Linked DNA regions of Rattus norvegicus. Each later gene encodes a partner of the first gene's protein in a complex. Links are inferred from orthologs where the notes say so. Each region holds a gene or a part of one and is shown on either strand. Other genes may lie near its edges.

Region 1 (4,088 bases):
ACTGGCTGTCTTTAGTTTAAGAGAGCAACTAGGTGAGAAGAAAACAGGAATCTAGCCGACGTTTAATTCTCAGGATGTCCTGTAATAGCATTATAAGTTGCTGTGGATGACAGTGATGGATCGGGCGCACAGTGAAATGAGACAGTGAGGAAGAAAACCTATATTGTACACTATGGCAATAACGGGGCAGCAGCAAGCGGTATTCAGAGTACAATAGAAATAAATGATTCAAACATCCAAGAGAACGCAGGTTAGACCAGGTAGGAAGAGGATCACTAAGAACACATTTAAATGGAAGCTGCAACGGAAATGGAATACCAGAGCCAGCCCATGGCAGGGCGGCAGCATGAGAACGGTCTGTTCAAAATCCAACATGGACCTGAGGCCGGCACACACTATCCTGCAAAGCCTGGTTATCACCACCTCCTCAGTATCCAAGAGCTCTCCACACCAGTCCTGCCTCACACCAGCGGCTACAATACATCCCCCGGCACGCATGGTCTCTACACCGGCCATGACTGAAGAGCAGTAACATGGTGCTCTGGAGCGGGCCTCTGGGGTCCCAGTAAGAGCACAGCCCTGAACCAGCACCAGACAACGGGTATAAAGCTCAGCCCTGGCGTTTTCTAGGCCTCTGTGGAGTAAGGGTGTGAGGTACCTTGTCGCCCTGGCCCAGGTTCTCGGATTTAGCTTCATACAAAGTTTTCCAGTTGGTGTTGCTCCCTCCGGTCCCTCCACTCCTGAGATCAGAGATGGAAACTCCATCTAAGGCTTGTCCTTCTGAGTCAAACCTAGGGAGAAAAAAGATATTGCTGATAGGAACTTTACATCCTTCTCAAATGTGTTGTTTGAATACACCAGCTACAAGCTCTGTCCCTCAGCTCTCACCTGGGTCCCAGCACACCCAGTCCACTAAAGAAACGAAATGCCAAAGTACCACAGACCCCTGCTCCAAACTGACAGCCATGAACAAAGTCGGCAACAGCAGGCAACACTGGCAGTCCCCCAGACTTCGAGCCTTCACCCCAATCACCAAAATGCATCAGATGAAAAGGGACATTTTTGTTTAATGAGTCTGCCAAAAATGTTTTCATGGGAGAAAATCTTTTAAGCCTAATCAGTTATAGAATTCAATGTACTTCATCAGAAGGCATTATCTGCTGTGTTAGAGATCTGCATTCTCAGCGAGGATTTGTTTATGGAAATATCAAGGTTAAATTCATTTATATGAAATTATTATTAAAATTGATTATACTTCTTGACCATCTATTGGCTAATCTGAAGGAAACGAGGCCAGGGAGAAGGTAGCAAGGACAGGGTAGTGGCAGAGAACAGTGTGCCTGAGATTAAAGACGCCATCAACTATATGAGTGGTAGGTAATTAAAGCTCCCCCCACAGGACTGACTCCCTAAAAAGAGACTACCCAACAGAGTGGCTGCTGCCCTAGGCCACAATCACCTTCTCATTCTGTCAGGTAAGCAGCCACATCCACCAGAGGACAAGGTCCATAAATCTGTTTCACCACAACTAGCCACACAAGTTTAAGGCTTCAAAAACTTCACACAGGCATTTGCCACCAAAGACAGCTCATAAGGAGTCAACAGAGCCAGGAGACAGGCAGCCGCTCTTACAGTAAAAATCCGCTCTGTCAGTGCCAGGATCTAAACATCTCCAATCCTTGTCTGGGTGGGGTGTGTGCACTGAACTCGTAGATCAATGACGGTATTCTGTTCAGGGGACAGACATGCCTGTTTGTGTTTTCTGTGATCACAGTTACTGACAGTGAAATATTAACTCCTTAATGCGGGCACACAATTAACCTGGAGTTGTGCTCAGAGCCTGGGAGGGAAACCAACCAACGAACTAGACCAATACCATGGTTGTCTCTGGTCATCCTAGGGAATTGTCATACGATGCAATGCTAGCTATCAGCAGTTACACAGACGGACCGACACCACTGAGCATGACATGTGACAGACACCCCAGACGCTCTAAGTATTAATTATTGTTATTGGTTTATATCAGACTCAAAACAAAAACGAGGAGTATGAAATATGAGCTCTTTTTCTCGAGTCCCCTAAACTCTAAGGCACAGCTGGAAACCATACATGTCCACCCTGTGACTACAGCTATTCAGTTTCCTTAAGCTCGGGTTAGGTAAATTACTTTCACCACCTCGATCCTCCCACACGACACTCTGAGGATGGAGTGCTCTTCCAAGGCAGAGTTTAATGCCTTAAAAAGCTCGGTATGGTGTGGAGATTCTAACAAGCTCTCCTCATCCCTTGAGTGCCTTGGGACTAACAATGTAAAGGCAACAAAGAGCCCATTGTTCTCACTGTGCAACAGCCGAGTCAGTGACTGCACAACAGAAGATGTGACCAGCTCCAGAGCCTCACCAGAGTAAGACGGTACATTCTACCCCCACATCAGCTGCCCACAGCGCAAACCGGAGATGCTCTCAGCACTGCTCTCCAGCACGCAGCTGTTAAAACCTTGTCTACCTGGTGGGATCAAGGTCAGCACGCAGCACTTAAGTTCTAATTGCTTTCTCTGACTCTCTAGGTTCATCAGGGGATCGTGGGCTTGTCGGTGTAAGAGGGCTTTCAGGCCACCATCTCCGAAGACATAATGCCTCCAAGAAATATAGGAACCACTTCACTCAATAGCAAAGGCTTGGCAAAAATAGCTTGGCAGAAGCCCACATGCTGACACTATCTAGCTCTCACCAAAGCCTGAACACAAATAACCCCTTAGCTGAGTTCCAAAAACCTACCATCCACGGAGCTTATAGGCCTCTGGGATGTCAGGATTCACAAGGACAGTGCTAGATGATAGGACAGAGAGGCTCCGCCCACCAAAGTCGGACACTCGGGCTCCTTTGATGGCCATCACAGGCTGCCTAGAACCGTCAAACTTGTCAGCCTGCAAAGCAAACACAAACATCATCGGCAAGAACAATGTACCGGATGGTTTTATGGAGAACAGTCAACGAATACAGGGTGAATACAGACAGACTCAGACTCAAGAATCTGCTTAGACTTTGAGGGAAGCTAATCTGTCTCTATATTCCTGAGTGAGCCAGAGTAAGGAGCACTGCACTATGGGAAGCTGCAATCATCTCATACAAGTGGAGGACTTCAAATGCTTGCTGGACAGCACTACTCTCTGAGCTAAAGTCCCACAGCTCAGGAAGACGAGAACCCCACCCCAGGGTTCTGCTCAGTGCAAGGACTCACGTCTTCTCCCCACAGCGTCGCAGTCACCACTTTCCCTGACATGTCCATCAAACAGATATTTCTCTTAGCAACTTCTCTGTTGTTAGACTTCACTGTGATTTTAGTCGCATCTTCATAGCTCTTGCAGATTCCAATTATGTCTGAAACAAAGAACACTTTGTAACAGCTCTCATCAAGGATCCTCTTAAAACATGGCCAAGGGATGAAAGGCAAGCACGCTAGTTGCGATCACCCCAAACACTGGAGACAAAATCACCTCTCTCTACCCTCACCCCTGGACGCACCTACAAGTGAGTCTTTAGACTTGCTCTCTAGGTCACCGATCCCTGTGAAGTCAAACTGAACTGTGGGTAAGTGATGGCCATCTTCGCAGGGAAGGACAGACGTCTCATTATTGAAGGTCATCTCATAGTCATTTTTAACAGCTGAGAACTGTTTGTTAGCGATTTTCAGAGTGCCCTTGGAGAAGTAATACACCTGCAAGAGAGGCCAAGTCAGGGACGCTAGTCAGCCATCAAACCCGTCCCCACGATGCAGCTTTCCGACTGTGCTCATGGCCCTCACTGTTCAGCTTGTCAGCTCAGACTCCACACTGTCTTACCTTGTTCACTTCAATAAGGGGAAAGAACTTGTCCACCTGCTCATTGAAAGCCGTAGCTCTGATTTCACCCTGCAAAAGCAAGGGAGAGCACATCACAACTGCATTGCTTGGCCCTCGCTCTGAACAGCGAGAGCAGGCCATTTTGACAATTAGCATCTTTGGAGCAACAGCCCAAGTATCAAGAGACCCTCCCAGGGCTGCACACATCCCAGAAACCCACACGCAGTTAACACTTTGAAGCCATCAG
Region 2 (4,088 bases), on another chromosome or scaffold:
TTTTTTTCCTTAAGAATCTCCAGACGTCAGTTTCCAGAATTTGATGCAGAAATAAACATCTCTGATAATTCCACATTACCCAACTCCATTCAAGATAAGACATTCATTTTCGTGAGACTCCCTGAAGAGGACAGCAGTTCTCAGTCGTCTAAAGGCAAACACCAAGCTGGTAGGTGTTTATGTTGGCTTGCATGGAAGTATTTCGGTTTTGTAATATTGCTATCAAACGACTAGCTGTGTATTGTTCGAGGCTAAAGGTAGGTCTTGCCCGTGAAAGATGGAGTACTAGAAATAAAACAACTGGAGAATCCTCAAAAGCAGGTTACTCTAGAGCAGTCGTTTTCAACCTCCCTAACACTGCGACCCGTTAGTTCAGTTCCTCATGTTGTGGTGACCCCAACCATAAAATCATTTCCGTTGCTACTTCATAACTGTAATTGTAATCTTACTACTGTTGCGAATTGTAATGTAAATGACTGTTTTCTGTGGCCTCCCAAGACCCCTATGAAAGGGTTGTTTGACCTCCTCGAAGGGATTGTGACCCACAGGTTGAGAACCACTGTCCTAGTAGTTCGTGAGGAAGTTCTTGAGACAGTGTAAGGACTCTCATTAAATACTCGAAGAGTCGGTAAGTGGCCAGAGAGGATTTTGTTTACAGAGCAATCCAAGTCTCTTCAGGAGAAAGTTGAGTTTTATTTAATGAAAATCCCTGTTCTTTTCTTCGAGGACATTGGTGACACTGTGGTTACTGTTAACACCACATGTAATTTGGGGTATCACAATGTTAGCCCGCCAGGGTTGAGAAGGGGCATGGGACAGGTCTCTTAAGCGCTTCACCACGTGTGAAATAAGAGTCAGGATTTTGGTGCCTGTGGAGCTAGGGGAGGGGCATCCATGTTAAGAACCACTGTGTAAGTACTAATAAATATCATTAAATTGGTTATTAAAAATAGTTATATTTGAGTATAATTGTCTTGGTTGACACAGCCTAGAGTCTCTGAGAAGGGACTTTTCAATTGAGGCATCACCCAGATCAGTTGGCAGGTGGGCGTGTCTGTCAGGGGTTTGTCTTGACGACTCACTGATGTGGGAGGGCCCAGCCCACTGTAGCCACTGCGGGCGGCACAATCCCAATGTAGCTATTCTTGGGCTGTATAAGAAAGCTAGCTAAGCAAGAACCAACTGAGCCAGCAGGCAGGATTGCTTCATGGTGCCTGCTTCAAGATCCTTCTTGGATTCTGACTCTGACTTCCTTCAGTGATGGAATATGTCCTATAAGCCAGATACATCCGCCTACATTGCTTCTGGTGTTTTATTACAGCAATAGAGAAGGAAACAGAACAGTAGAGGGGTTCTTTTGGTCTTGATTTAGATTTTAAAACTGACTTAGCAAGCTTGAAGCATAGTTTAAGGGTTTGGTAATGATTAGTAATGATTTAAATGATTCTTCTGAGGATTTATTATTATTATTATTATTATCATCATTATTACTATCATTATTTAGTTGCCAATCTTCTGAGGATCTATTGTAGTTGTCCCATAGTTCCTTACCATGCATGGCACGAAGCTTCCAAACCACCCAAGTCTGTCTTCGACTGTGCGCATGCCTGACCTCATCGTTCCTTTTAGCTTTCTATAAATTGGATAAGAAGATGCATATCTCGTGAGCTGGTTTGAACTACATATGACAGCTGATGTTTATGAGAAAAGCAGATACAGACTCTTCGTAGCTCGCTCTCTTTGCGACTCTCTACAGTATACCTCAAGCATTGTTTATCTTGGGACCCGTTCTGTATATTAAAGAGATTGTGCCTTTTGTTTGAGTGAGCCAGGGTCTTCTCAAGCTGACTTTGAACTCCTAATTCTTCTGTCTCCCCCTCCCTAGTCCATGGGGTAGCTGGTGCTGTCACGACCAGCTCATTAAAATGTACTTTCAAAAGAAAAACAAGTTGTCTGTTTCAGAGTGTGAGTGGCGCTTAGCTGATTCTCTGTTTTAATTAAAAAATTTGTGGGAAAATCAGCTTCTTCCTTAGGAAAATCGGGTAACTAGTCCTGACAGAGGCAAATAGCACTTTTTTATTAATAAATGGTGTAGTAAATTTTATCCATTGTTACAAAGTGCAGGGACCCAAGATAGGACCCATAATGGCCAGAGTTTCAGAGATGCTAAAACGTTACTGTAGAATAAAATGCCCAGTGCCTTGGACCTGTGAGACAGAGAGGAAGAGGAGGTGGAGAGTGGGAGACCTCTGGAAACTTCTGCTCTGGTTGACTGGGTTCAGAGACCTGAGGTCAGCTATTTTCTGGAGAGTGTCTTCATTGAAGAAATGAAGTGACTGTGATCAGCTGACTCTGTCTTTCTAGAACAGAGCACCACAGTACTCCATAGTTCACCGGCTCCTAGATGATACACAAAACCCTGCAGTGTTCCTATCTCCCTCCGCCTTTTGTCTTGAGACAGGACCTCATGTTGCCTGGGCTGCCATTGAATTTGCTGTATAGCTGAGGCTGACCTTGAACTCCTATCCCCTAGCCTCTCTCATATAGACCAGGCTAGACCCTATCTATAAAACAACAACTATGAAAACCAACCAAACCTGGGGTAGTGAGCTGGACATAATGGTATATGCCTGTCATGATGGTATTTTGTTAGTGGCTGAATTGTGGGAGGTTGGGTCAGGGGAGGAAAGAGAAAGCTGAGGTGAGTGAGGCACTGTGCTGTTAGGCCACTGGGCACTTTTGAGCCAGTGCGGCAGTATCTCAGTATTGCAATCTGGTGTGCACCAGCTCCCCATATGATAATACTTCATGAGTATGTGCTGATGGATTTCCAACTCTGACGGACTACAACCAGTACCTCAGGGGCTGAAACCTGGTCTCCATGGTCTTGCCACTGTTATGGCGCATGTCAGGGATGACGTAGGCGTTCCCGTGGTGACCTTGTATTGCACGTGGTGAGGTGTTTTACCTACTGCTTAGTAGGAATTGCTAGCCAATTTCCCCATAGAAATAGCATTATAATTTGGCAATTTTTCTGTTAACCTTTTTCTCTTTGCCAGATTTATATTCTGCAGTTAAAACTTTGCTTCAAGGGAAGGACTTCTGCAGTCCTGAAAGTGCAAAAACATCGCAATTTATTGCATTTAGAAGGTAAAATGTTTATAATGTGTTAATGTACTTTGTCCAACTCTTAAACTTCGTAAGTTATTAATGTACATTGTATTTAGGGGGAGATGCATGTAATTTCTCATTATTTCTTCTCATTCCTCAAAGTATCTTTTTATTAGACACATCAGAAGGTATTCTGAACGGGGCTGCTTTCTGTCAAGTATGCTTATATTTTCATTGGAAGTGCCAGTGAAACGAAATTTTATTTGAAGGTTAAAAATTATAAAATAGTTTTTCTCCAGCTGGGCGAGGTGGTCCCCACCTTCAACCCTTGTACTTGGGAGGCAGAGGGAGGCGGATCTCTGAGTTCCAGGCCAGCCTGGTCTGCAGAGCGAGTTCCAGGATGACCAGGACTACACAGAGAGACTCTGCTTTGATAAAACAAAAACAAAAAAAAAAAAAAAAAAAAAAGAAAGAAATAGTAACAACAAAAAATACTTTTTCCTAGAGAAAGTTCTAGAAACTCCTTATGGGATCTGCTCTGTCAGCAGGGGTGTGAGTGCTAGCATGCTTGTCTAGGAAGCACAGAGCCCTCAGTTCAATTCTCAGTATCACAACAACAAGTTAAACAATCCACTGCCCAGTATATGATTGTCTGTAAACATAAGCCGGTGTACAGTGTGTGGTGTTGACGTGACTCTGATTTTCGTGTGTTTCAGGCAAGACTGTGACCTCATCAATGACTGCTGCTCCAAGCACTACACAGACCACCTCATCAAGTGAGCATTTTCCAGACTGATCCTGTAGGGGACGGTCGTGCCTTTATTTGCTGTTCTCTTGTTTATATGTGTATTTGTCACATAGGGCCGCACATTCAAAAGTCATACACGTTCCCCCAGTTTCTGAAGCGTAATAGACTCTCTTCAATTAAATGGATTATATATCGTTAGGAACTGACATGGACCGTAAGTAGAGCAAAG
Region 3 (4,188 bases), on another chromosome or scaffold:
CACAAGTATTAAACACAGGAAAACTGATAGGCACCATGGAGTGTTCTGTGCCGAGGGAATCTTTGCTGTTGAGCCTAGGAAGAGAAGCCAGCATGGGAAAAGCAGGCCACAGCCTTGGAAGCAGCCAGAGTGACAGCCAAGGGCCTGACAGGACTTTGGAGATAGGTGATCAGAGGTAGGATACAGTGAAGACATGTGGGACCTGGATCCTGAAAGTTCCAGATTAAGAGACCAGACTTTGGAGAGTTAAGCTGGTGGAGGCAGATCGCTGAGGACAGTGGAGACAAGGAGGGCCACTTTGCCGTCTGTTTGGTAACAAAGTAATCAGAATCCACTGAAGAACTGATCAGATGAGGAGGAGAGGATGCTAACAGCTAACTCCAGTCTAACAGTGAACTGGACGCCTCTATGTTGCTCACACTGGTTGCCTTGGATGTGGAATGGGAAAGCAGTCTCCTCCCCGGAGGCTTTAAGAAAGGAGAAGCTAGAGAGGGAGAGGAGCCTAAAAAAGAGGAGTTAGATAACTAATACAGACTTCCCGTTAACCCACAGGACACAGCAGGGAAATGCAAGTGTTGCTCTAGGCTGTTCTTTTCACACTTGAAGTAACTAAAACCCAGAGAAAGTTGAATGCATCCCAGCTGATAGCCCTCATCCTTGACACTGTCTGGGTAATTGGTAACGTGTACACAAACTACGTGTAGTGCTTAAGCCTTTCCACGACTTCCCAGTTCATCCCTTCAGCCCTGACGGGCTCAAGGCTCGGGACACTCCACCCAGCCATATGGTCCTACCCCATTGTGCCTCTGCTTCTGACAGACCCATCCTTCTACCCTTTTCTGTCCCAGAACCTTCTGATCTTTCCGTGTATTTATGAAGGTCAGTGAAGGATCCTGAAATCAGAATGAACAGCCTCTTTTCATGGTTCTTGAAGCAAGTTACGTTAATTTTTTTTTTTTTTTTTTTTTTTGAGGGGAGCTGGTGGTTGCTGCCACAACAGAATCATCCCTGGCCCTGATTGAGCGCGAACTTTCCTTGACCCTGTAACCCCACACACTAAAGTTAGTGACTCCAGAGGGTCTACTCTTCCCATGTTCGGACTCTGGTCCAGAACTCGATCCTTGGTGCAGGCACCTTGCTCCTCGGAACTGCATCTAATGTGGGAGCCCGGTGGAGCAGCAGAACTCTGCAGGGTGGGAAAGCCAGACCCGATGAAGGACGCAGGAGCGCTCCCTCCGTAGTCACGTGACCCAGGCCACACCCAAGGAAACGACTGAATCACGTGGCGCCGAGCTTAGGAACGTTTTTCTCACGTGACGGAGGAACCCCGGGTGGACCAATAAGGAAGCGGAGGCCAGGCTGGCGGCGGGGAGGGGACGGTGCGCGGGAAGAGAACTTTAGGCATTCCTAGTAGCTGCTGGGACTCGTTGTGGGTTGTATCCCGTCCCGGTCTGGTTGTAAAACAAGCTCGGCCTCAGTGTTTATGTACCATGAAGTGCCTGATCACTGGGGGCAACGTGAAGGGTAAGTTTAGACCTGCTTTGCAGCAGACCATGTGAGCAAGCCCCTGGAGTCCCCCTAACCACTTTCTGCTCTCCTTCCGTAGTGCTGGGAAAGGCTGTCCATTCGCTATCCCGAATCGGGGACGAGCTCTATCTGGAACCCTTGAAGGACGGGGTAAGAGACTGGGACGCAGGGATGGGGGCCGATTCAATGGCGAGTGGGGAGCCTAGGCTTGGCGTTCACTCGGCCTTACAGGGTGATGGTGGACAGGTATTTCGGCTCAGTTTATTTCCTCTTGAGTTGTTGGGACATCAGCTTGGGCCCTGTCTTCTGAGGCTGCATGTGTATACAGAGGGCACTTAACTCTTCCTAGAGCGCCTTGTGGCAGGCAAGGTGGGGCTAAAGTAACTTAAGGGAAAAACAAGCATGGCAGACCCTGAGCCGCGGAAGACTGGGAGATCTACATGCAAGAAGGTCTTGCCACACAGAAAGGGAAGGGGAGTTTCATTAGGAAGCGATGGAAGAGAACTGCCGCTGGATGAAATGCAGGGCATTTAGTGAGCCTGACGTGGCCCCTGACTATTATCTTCCCTGCTTTTTGTGCCTCAGCTCTCCCTACGGACTGTGAACTCTTCCCGTTCTGCCTATGCCTGCTTCCTCTTTGCCCCCCTCTTCTTCCAGCAATACCAGGAAGCTTCCCCTGGTCAGGATCTGCTGCGCTGTAAGATCCTGATGAAGGTAAGGACCACCTGAAGCATCCACAGCTGTGCCTGTGTCAGGTACTCAGTAAATGATGACTAGGGAGTTAGTCTCATATGGGAGCTAGTCCATGCAAAATGCAGTGAGGTCGAGATGTTTAGACTCTAGAGGGTTATAAGAGCACTGGAGAGGGTGGTGACATTCAGGTTGGTCAAGAAAAGTTTAGCAGCCCTTCCCAGCAAAGAGAACAGCATGGACAAGCCTGGTAATGTGCAGACATCCTGCATGCAGTGGGAGCCCCCTTTCACAGCTTTGTTGGGCCAGTGATGGACCAGGGCCTACATGGGATGTAGAGCTGGTCCATGGAAGCAGAGTGCCAGGCCGATGTCCTACCCTGCCCAGTCCTTCCTGTCCGTCTTCCGCTCTCTGGCAACGGTGGAGAAGACTGTGGAGAAGTGCTGCATCTCCCTCAGTGGCAGCAACAGCCACCTGGTGGTCCAGCTTCACTGCAAATATGGTGAGCAGGCAGCTGGCCAGCTAAGAGTGGGGGAGTGGAGTGAAGGCTGTCAAGCCCACTGAGACCATTTCCCCTATCCAGGGGTCAAGAAGACACACAACCTCTCCTTCCAGGACTGTGAATCCCTGCAGGCTGTCTTCGACCCAGCCTCATGCCCCCACTTACTCCGCACCCCAGCACGGTGAGCATGCCTGCTTCGGACTTCACCTGAGTCTCTCCCACCTTTGGGGCCTTAAGTGTTATTCTAGGATATCTCACTCTCAGAATGAGATGAGGATGGCGAGTGGGGAACCTAGGCTTGGCGTTCACTCGGCCTTACAGGGTGATGGTGGACAGGTATTTCGGCTCAGTTTATTTCCTCTTGAGTTGTTGGGACATCAGCTTGGGCCCTGTCTTCTGAGGCTGCATGTGTATACAGAGGGCACTTAACTCTTCCTAGAGCGCCTTGTGGCAGCAAGGTGGGGCTTCCCACCTCTGGATGGAGGTGGGAAGGTCAGAAGTTTCAAGGCCAGTGAGTTTCTAGGCTAGCCTAGGTATTATGAGACAGTCTCAAAAAAGGGTGCATATGCTGGGGAGATAACTCAGTAAATGTGTGATGTACAAGCATGGGTGCCTGTTCCGAGTCCTCGCTTAGATAAGAATGTGTAATGTCAGTTGGCCGGCGGTGCACGCCTTTAATCCCAGCACTTAGCAAGGCAGTGGTTTTCTGTGAGGACAGCCTGGTCTACAAAGCAAGTTGCAGGCAGGCAGGCAGGCAAGCAGGGCTACAGAGAGAAACCCTGTCTTTAAAAAAAGGAACCAAACCAAACACCAAGATGGGCAGCACCTGAGAAGCAGCAGCACTGAGCATGTCTTCTGCCCTCTGCCCATGCACGTTCACACAACACAAAAGCACCTTTGCCTCTAAGGCGGAAACTCGGGGTTTCTGTGTCAAGGCCACACATCGCTTACCTTGCTCTTCAAGAACAGAAGCTGCTGTCTCTCGCCATTCCCACTGACTGTGGGTCCTGCCTTGTGTATCCCAGAGGCCTGCTCTGCTTGTCTAGAGAGAACCTATGACCTGCCTGCAGATCTCTTTTTTTTTTTTTAAACATTTATTATGTATACATCACACAGCTTTCTGCCTGCATGTATGCCTGCAGGCCAGAAGAGGGCACCAGACCTGATTGTAGATGGTTGTGAGCCACCATGTGGTTGCTGGGAATTGATCTCAGGACCTCCGGAAGAGCAGACAGTGCTCTTAACCTCTGAGCCATCTCTCCAGCCCCCTGCAGATCTCTTGTATGACCTGAATAACCCTGACAGCCTGTCCTTGACCCTGTGTCACAGTTTCAAAGCCCTCTGACCTCTCACTCTTCTGGTAGTGTCCCTCTTTTTTTTTTTTTTTTAAGATTTATTTATTTAATGTATGAGTATACTGTCCCTATCTTCAGACACATTAGAAGAGGGCATCAGATCCCATTACAGAT

What was found.
Region 2: the proteins of Rpa1 (region 1) and Helb are in contact, whole or in part, in a crystal structure (PDB 7XV1), measured with the Homo sapiens proteins. The link is inferred for Rattus norvegicus from reciprocal best matches to the Homo sapiens genes RPA1 and HELB. Residues at the interface, in NP_002936.1 of Homo sapiens: Asn29, Ile30, Arg31, Ile33, Arg41, Arg43, Leu44, Leu45, Ser54, Ser55, Met57, Ala59, Thr60, Gln61, Arg81, Ile83, Asn85, Leu87, Arg91, Val93, Ile95, Met97, Glu120; in NP_001357214.1 of Homo sapiens: Glu496, Glu499, Val500, Lys502, Ala503, Cys504, Asp506, Phe507, Glu508, Asp510, Asn512, Ala513, Glu516, Trp517, Thr519.
Region 3: the proteins of Rpa1 (region 1) and Rad9a are in contact, whole or in part, in a crystal structure (PDB 8JZY), measured with the Homo sapiens proteins. The link is inferred for Rattus norvegicus from reciprocal best matches to the Homo sapiens genes RPA1 and RAD9A. Residues at the interface, in NP_002936.1 of Homo sapiens: Asn29, Arg31, Ile33, Arg41, Arg43, Leu44, Leu45, Ser54, Ser55, Phe56, Met57, Asn85, Leu87, Lys88, Asp89, Arg91, Val93; in NP_004575.1 of Homo sapiens: Asp297, Phe298, Ala299, Asn300, Asp301, Asp302, Ile303, Asp304, Tyr306, Met307, Ile308, Met310.

The regions. Positions count from the first base shown.
Region 1 is NC_086028.1:60,656,458-60,660,545, forward strand, and holds part of Rpa1 (replication protein A 70 kDa DNA-binding subunit), read right to left. Parts: intron 3,911-4,088; coding exon 3,842-3,910; intron 3,718-3,841; coding exon 3,525-3,717; intron 3,381-3,524; coding exon 3,241-3,380; intron 2,927-3,240; coding exon 2,778-2,926; intron 792-2,777; coding exon 659-791; intron 1-658. UniProt on the Homo sapiens protein: As part of the heterotrimeric replication protein A complex (RPA/RP-A), binds and stabilizes single-stranded DNA intermediates that form during DNA replication or upon DNA stress.
Region 2 is NC_086025.1:57,483,792-57,487,879, reverse strand, and holds part of Helb (DNA helicase B), read left to right. Parts: intron 1-14; coding exon 15-169; intron 170-3,059; coding exon 3,060-3,150; intron 3,151-3,827; coding exon 3,828-3,887; intron 3,888-4,088.
Region 3 is NC_086019.1:210,922,377-210,926,564, reverse strand, and holds the start of Rad9a (RAD9 checkpoint clamp component A), read left to right. Parts: upstream 1-1,403; 5' UTR 1,404-1,490; coding exon 1,491-1,524; intron 1,525-1,606; coding exon 1,607-1,677; intron 1,678-2,112; coding exon 2,113-2,241; intron 2,242-2,512; coding exon of another isoform or gene 2,513-2,604; coding exon 2,605-2,719; intron 2,720-2,800; coding exon 2,801-2,900; intron 2,901-4,188. UniProt on the Homo sapiens protein: Component of the 9-1-1 cell-cycle checkpoint response complex that plays a major role in DNA repair. The 9-1-1 complex is recruited to DNA lesion upon damage by the RAD17-replication factor C (RFC) clamp loader complex.